Macaca fascicularis: one gene and its partner. The protein of the gene in region 1 purifies or fractionates together with the protein of each later gene. This does not show direct contact. Links are inferred from orthologs where the notes say so. Each region holds a gene or a part of one and is shown on either strand. Other genes may lie near its edges.

What was found. The genes of interacting proteins can lie anywhere in the genome.
Region 2: the proteins of CUL1 (region 1) and FBXO42 purify together in Homo sapiens (affinity purification with mass spectrometry; 9 studies listed by BioGRID and IntAct, counting the BioPlex papers as one, with this or other methods). This does not show direct contact. The link is inferred for Macaca fascicularis from reciprocal best matches to the Homo sapiens genes CUL1 and FBXO42.

Annotation. Positions count from the first base shown.
Region 1 is NC_088377.1:190,452,788-190,456,674, reverse strand, and holds the end of CUL1 (cullin-1), read right to left. Parts: intron 3,776-3,887; coding exon 3,728-3,775; intron 3,649-3,727; coding exon 3,566-3,648; intron 3,013-3,565; coding exon 2,907-3,012; intron 2,321-2,906; coding exon 2,207-2,320; intron 1,118-2,206; coding exon 1,037-1,117; 3' UTR 512-1,036; downstream 1-511. UniProt on the Homo sapiens protein: Core component of multiple cullin-RING-based SCF (SKP1-CUL1-F-box protein) E3 ubiquitin-protein ligase complexes, which mediate the ubiquitination of proteins involved in cell cycle progression, signal transduction and transcription.
Region 2 is NC_088375.1:218,794,425-218,798,076, reverse strand, and holds part of FBXO42 (F-box only protein 42), read right to left. Parts: intron 3,580-3,652; 5' UTR 3,563-3,579; coding exon 3,313-3,562; intron 1-3,312. UniProt on the Homo sapiens protein: Substrate-recognition component of some SCF (SKP1-CUL1-F-box protein)-type E3 ubiquitin ligase complex. Specifically recognizes p53/TP53, promoting its ubiquitination and degradation.

The DNA.
Region 1 (3,887 bases):
GCGGGCTCTGCCGTGTCCCGAGCCCACGACCGGAACAGAAGCGTGGCCGAGTGGGCTCTGCCGTGTCCCGAGCCCACGACTGGAACAGAAGCGTGGCCGAGCGGGCTCTGCTGTGTCCCGTGCCTGTGCTCTCCACGCAGGAGAGGCTGGTGGCGACCGGGGATCCTGGAGCCCACCACTCACCTTCGGTCCTACCTCCTCTACTCACTAGAGGCATCTTCCCTCATCTGGCCTCAGTTTCCCCACCTGCAAAAAGGAGGATACTGTTTCACACATAGGCTGTCAGGGTAACTCATTTAGTCCTTACAAGTGTCAAAGAGAACCAATGTGTGGTCAGCGACTCTCATTGAATCCAGTGACACAGTGCATTCAAGTCACCACAGAAGTCACAAAAATAAGCAAGATTTTTTTTAAAGGATTACATCGGGGCTTAAAATTTTAAGATCTTAAAAAATTTTCAATCCAAAGAATACAGCCCTTTTAAACTACAGGAAGACACTAGGAATATAAATTTGCACAATCATTATATCTTTTATTTACATATAGAAATTAGTAAAACTTAAAACAAAACCAAATGCGACTTGTACAGAAATCCTTTAATTTTCTTTATTTTCACACATTAAAAAATGAAACACACTATACAAATGGTTTTCATAGCAGATTACATGTGGGTCCATTCACACTTGCTCTCAAAGTGCTGCCAACGTGACAAGTGCTGCCAAGGCGACAGCTGCGAATCGGGGAGCCCATGTATTGACGTAGATGCGGTAGCATGCAGCCCTCGGCATGGAGGGTCAGTCCCCGCTGTTCTTAAATTAGGGTAAATGGCGTTGGTGTCCGTATTTACAGACTTGAAATGTATCAATCCTGAGCAGTTCCGATGTAAATCCGAGACAAGCTGATGGGAGTCTTGGTCTCCGTTTTAAAAAGGGAGGTCCAATGGCGGCAGGCTGGCTGCTATGAACTTGAGTTGTTTTCATTCTTTCCAACGTGAACTATTTGCCGCGGGTCACACAGTCAGACCCTTCCAGAAGGGTTAAGCCAAGTAACTGTAGGTGTCCTTTTCACCATCAACTCGCTCCAAATACTCTTTCTCAATTAGAATGTCAATGCATTTCTGGGTGTTATTTTTAAAAAGGAAGAGGTAGTGAAAGAGAAGAAAAACACAAATTAGCATCAGAACAGAGAGAGGTTGCCCCCACCACAGATCTCCCCATGTGGAGCTCGGTGGGGAGCAGTGCCCCCCGCCCCAGATCTCTTAGCATAGTTTCACTTCCTGGGCAGCTAAGCCGTTGTGCATGGAGTTCGTTTAATTTCCATTTCCTTGACACTTGCTGAGGGGGACTCCAAGTCCCTCCTGCACCCACCCTAGGAACTGGAGCCGGGTGCTCTGCGAGCCCCATGGGCCAGTCTCTTTCTACCACCAAAGTCTGCTTGCCTCTGAGGCAGGACTCAGTCTCACAAGAAGAGGCCATGAACAGGCAACAGGGGACCGTGGAGAACCCCCTGAACAGCCATGAACGAACTGGCACCTGTGCCAAATGTAACCCAGGAGGGACACTGGGCCTTCTGCCTGTTGAGGGAGTCACCTGGCTCCCCACTGGCTGTGCCTTACCCAAGTGGTTTCGGAAAAGGAAAGTCCTGCTTCCCAATCAGAAATAAGCAAAATGTCAACAGTAGGCTACACAAAGGAAGGTGTGTTCCCATAACAGAACACCCACAAGAGTCACAAAAACGATCCAGTGCTTCTCGATACCGCAACGCAATGAATCTCCCAAAGATACTGCTGAGAAAATTCTTACCAGGCACGGGAGCATGTGCTCTAGAATCTGTCTATGTATCACGCATAAGCAGGCAAAACTGCTTTATGGTGTCAGAAGACATGACAGTGATTTTCTATGGCACCACAGGTATTAGCTGGGATGGGTGGGCTTCCGGGATGCTGGTCATGTTTTAATTCTTACCTGGGTGCCGGTTACACAGTTTATCGACTGTGAAAGTCATCAAGCTGCCACTTCATCATCTGTGCACTTCTTTGTGCGTGTGTTTCAATAGCGTTACACTAAAGCTTTCTTTTATAGAAATCTACTACATACAAAGAAGCCAGCTCCCTTCTTCTTCATGCTACAGCAATCCATCCACTTTTTGCTACATCTTTTATCTTCTAAATTAAGGAAGGAATGTGACTGCTATGTAAGTCCTGTACCTTGATCACAGGGACCCGAGGTTTGAACCTGGAGGACAGCTGAGTGAGGACCTCGCCAAGTAACTGCTGGTGTTTCAGAACCTTCCTCATCTTCATGATTCTCACGATGGCCGCCTATGCAACCAGATAAGGAAAAAGAGGTGCATTTAGAGCTGTTAACAACTTAGTATTGACAGTTAAGGGCAAGCCGCACAGAGGCTGCCAATGCTACGCACAGGATCACCATTTCCTAACGGGCAACAAGCGTCCTGCCGGTGAGACGGGAGAGGCAACCAATTGTACTCGCCTATGTTTCAACTCTAACGTGGCAAACATTACGTTTTGGTCTTTTGAGCAATGTGACCTCAATAATTTAACTCAACCATAAAGCATTAAAAAAAGGAGACAAAATTAAGTCAAGGCCTCGGAAGCTGCCCATCCTCCCCGCTGAAGCACTCTCCTTCCCCCTCGTTTCAGCTGGGCCTGCCACAATGTCTGCTTTCCAACATGGAGAGCAAGAGGACTGCCCTGTTCTGCCTGGTGACATAAAGGACTAATTCAGATAACAAGGCCCTGGCTCTCGGCCTTGCCACCTTCTGCCATCACAGAGCCATTCATCTGGCAATCACTCCTGAGTCAGCCCCGCTCCCCCACGGCCCGTCCTTGCGAGCCATCCCTGCGTGAGGGACCGCACACCCGGCACAGGCATACAGGAAGTCACCTGAATCAGTAGTTTGCGGTCTTCCTCGATATTTTTGTGTGTGGTTTCTTGTTCCTGCTTCTGTTCGGTTTTCATTGGCACATTGATGTTAACCCTTAATTTCTTACTATCAAGAAAATGGAGGAAACCGATCACTATCATGTTAAAAGGTAGGCAATGAAGGCTGCTTTCTATTTGTCAACCTTTAAGCAGTGCCCCTGCTTCCCCAGACAGAGGGGAGCGCTGATTTCTGTGAGCTCTATGTGAGAACGCCTGTACCCAGCACTGGGCAGAGTCCGATCACAGCGTAGTTTCCTACTTGGCCATTAACAGGGACATCCACATTACAGAAAATCCAGGTCCTTAATCTGCTCTCCCAAATTTTGTCAAGTGAAATAAAATCAAGCCACTTGGACATAAAGGTCCAAACTTTCCTGATGAGCCATTTAAGGAGACTTACGTGCCAAATAAATAAACAAAAAACCCAGTAGCTCAGAGTTGGAGAAACATCAGGCTTGCTGAATGGAATCGAAGGCCTACCTCACACTCCCAGCCTAGTGCCTGTCGCTTCATACTGAGTCCCCGTCTCCCTCGGTTCACAACAATACTGAGATCTGTGCTAGGGCTCCCGGGGGACACGTCTATGGTCTAGGGCCATCTATTTATTAGATTTTTCTTACTTTTTATAACCAAGATATAATTTTATTAAGGTATCTGGCTTTAATTCCACTTCATCAACATTTGCATTTTCATCTTCCAAGACCTGTAAGAAAAAAAGTGTTACTATATAATCTCAGGAAAAGGCTTGCTTCTAGCATAAGATAGAAAGTGCACAAACCTACCAGTAACTTTGACTTTAATAAAATCTGTAGGACTTGCGCCAAAATGTCCTGCAATTAAAGAGAAAAAGAGGAAGTTAAAGGGACAATGCATTTTTCTTTGCAATAACCACCACAGGCAACCTCATGGTCCATTTTCCATTAAAAAAAAAAAAATCACCCA
Region 2 (3,652 bases), on another chromosome or scaffold:
AGCAATTGTGCACCTTGGTATTTACCCAAAGAAGCTGAAAACTTATGTCCACAGAAAAACCTGCACATGGATGTACACCAGCTTTATTCATAATTGTCAAACCTTGGAAGCAACCAAGATGCCCTTTCAGTAACTGAATGGGTAAACAAACTGTGGTGCATCTAGACAATGAAATATTACTCAGCACTAACAAAAAAAGAAATCATGAAAAGAAATGGAGGAAGCCGGGAACGGCGGCTCACGCCTATAATCCCAGCACTTTTGGAAGCTGAGGCAGGAAATCACTGGAGCTCAGGAGTTTGAGACTAGCCTGGGGAACAGCAAGATCCTATCTCTATAAAATTTTTTTTTTAATTACACAGGCATGGTGGTGCACACCTGTGGTCCCAGCTATTCCAGTGGCTGAGATGGGAGGATCACTTGAGCCCAGGAGGTGGAGGTTGCAGTTAGCCAAAATCACGCCAATGCACTCCAGCCTGGGCAACAAAGCAAGACCCTGTCTCCAAAAAAAAAAAAGAGGAAACTTAAATGCAAATATTACTAAGTGAAAGAAACCAATCAGAAAAGGCTATATACTATATGATTCCAACTATATGACCATCTAGAAAAGGCAAAACTATGGAGACAGTAAAAAAATCAGTGATTGCCAGAGGTTGGTGGAAGGAAAGGATAAAGAGGGAGAGTATACAGGATTTTTAGGGCAGTGAAGCTATTATGATATTATAACAGTGGATATGTGTCATTATACATTCATCCAAACCCATAGAATACATAACACCAAGCATGAACATTAATGTAAACTATGGACTTTGGGATAATAACAATGTTTCAGTATAGGTTCATCAATTGTAACACATGTACCACTCTGGTGAGGGATGCTGATAATGGGAGAGGCTACACATGTGTCAGGATAGGGGGTAAATGAGAAATTGGTTTTGTTTCTTTTTTTTTTTTTGAGATGGAATCTCACTCCGTCATCCAGACTCGAGTGCAGTGGCTCGATCTTGGCACACTGCAACCTCTGCCTCCCAGGTTCGAACAATTCTGCTGTCTCAGCCTCCCAAGTAGCTGGGACTACAAGCACCCACCACCATGCCCAGCTAATTTTTGTATTTTTAGTAGAGATGAGGTTTCACCATGTTGGCAGGCTGGTCTTGAACTCCTGATCTCAAGTGATCCGCCCACATTGGCCTCCCAGAGTGCTGGGAATACAGGCATGAACCACTGTGCCCGCTCAGAGGAATCTGTTTCTCCTGCTGAATTTTGCTGTGAACCTAAAAGTGCTCTTAAAAAAAAAAAAAGTCTATTAAAATTAAAAACAAAGAAACAAAACTATCTCATCAGAGACTTCTGCCAGAAAGATCGATTTAAGACTGTGAGTACTAGGGTAGGGTTCTTTTCTTAAAAAAATAAAAAAAGAAAGAAAAGGAAAGAAAAAAGAAAAGAAAAGGATAGGATAGGATAAGATAGGGAGAAGAAGAGAGAAGAGAAAAGAAAAAAGAAAAGAAAACCAAAATAAGACTGCCAAAGAAAACCTAGGATAAATTCATATATTTGATTAAATCACAGTCCCTTACCTGTGGTTTTCCTCCCTTTATTTGAGAAGTGAAAGCATGTATTTCCACAGTGCAGGGAGCCAATCTCTCCTGAAGAGCTCGTCAACTCAGAATATAGAAGCAGGCTGTGTGTGCCAGTATTAGCAGTTATAATCAAATAAGCACAGGGCCCATAGAGCAGTTTCAATAGCTGGCTGTTAGCCCTCTAGGTGGACTTTGGGAGTTGACAAGGACTTCCCTCCCCATGAGAACCACCTTGATGCAAGGAAAATATTTTAAAACTGATTGATTCTGATCTAAAGATTGTTCTCTGTTATATCTCTGGCTGTCTTGTTCCCCCAGGAAAGAACACATCGAGACAACCCTCGCTTGATCAAAAATTACTCAACTTGACTGATCATCTTCAAACAAAAAGCAGGCCCTTTCCCCTTAAGATGCAATGAAGCCACTAACTACTTTCTGCTAATTAAAAATACAGCATGTCTAGCAACCTAAACATTTAGCAAAAAGTTGAAATCTTGATTAGGAAAAGGATGAAAAAAGGACCAGAGTCTTGCTCGGTCGCCCAGGCTGGAGTCCAGTGGGTGATCTCGGCTCACTGCAACCTCCACCTCCTGGGTTCAAGCAATTCTCCTGCCTCAGCCTCCCCAGTAGCTGGGATTATAGGCACCCACCACCACGTCCAGCTAATTTTTGTATTTTCAGTAGAGACAAGGTTTCACCTTGTTGGCCTGGCTGGTCTCGAACTCCTGACCTCAGGTGATCCGCCTGACTCAGCCTCACAAAGTGCTGGGATTACAGGAGTGAGCCACTGCGCCCGGCCAAGAAACATATTTTAAAAAGTAAAAGATGTACATAGGGTCTTTGCTGTTTAGAGATAAAATCAAATGACAAATGCTTTCAAGAAAGCACAGTTGCTAAAAGTAGCTACTCAGAGACAATATGCAGCCTTAATCAGAGCATGGACTCTAAAGCCAGATTGCCTGAATGTGAATCTTTAATCCTGTATTTACTACCCATGTAAATAAGTTAACTGTGCCTCACTCAGTTCTGTCATCTATAAAATGCAGTATGTTCTAGTCATAGTTTGCTATGTGAATGTAAAGCAGTTACAATAGTGCTTGACACATGACAAAAGCTATGCTCACATTGGCTATTACTATTATCCCATATCCATTTCTATTTTGCCCATTCAAGAACAATACTATTAATTCACTTGGGAGGCTGAGGCGGATGGATCAGGAGATCGAGACCATCCTGGCTATCACAGTGAAACCCCATCTCTACTAAAAATACAAAAAATTAGCCGGGCGTGGTAATGGGCGCCTGAAGACCCAGCTACTCCAGAGGCTGAGGCAGGAGAATGGCATGAACCCGGGAGGGGGAGCTTGCTGTGAGCCAAGATTACACCACTGCATTCCAGCCTGGGCGACAGAGCGAGACTCTGTCTCAAAAAAAAAAAAAAAAAAAAAAAAAAAAAAAAAAGAACAATACGATTAACCAGATCAACTCTAAGAATATGAAGCTTTTAAAAAGAATCCTCATTTTAAAAAATGCAAATGGGATTAGATACTTTAGTATTCAAGCTGTTCATTGAACTAACCAGGGTAAGAAAAAAAAGAAAATGTAGTATCGTCTAATACCAGATTTTATAACCATAATACATTTAAGGGAGGAAAAAAACTAAATCTGGAGTCTAAAAATAAATCAATGAAATTTGAAATCAATAAATAAACCTTTCTCCTATCCACAGTACCTTTGATAAGTCGATACCACTGTTTGCAGACAAGGGCCGCAGTTTTGTGTTCCTGATATGGTGACAGAAAGGACAGGATATACTCCAAAACCTCTTCTGGCAGCTCCGACATGGACCTATTATGTCTAGTCTCGTCAGCCTCCAATACTGGGTGGGGCTCCTCATCTTGCTCCATTGTCCCTTCCAGCACAGTTTCTTCCTGGTCCACAGCCATGAAACTGTCATCTTCACTGTCTGAGGAGCTGGCCATGACATCCCACTCAACAGCTGTAATAGGTAAAATACAAATATCAGTATTGCACTGAAAGCAGCTCAAAAACAATTCAGGCATGCACATCTA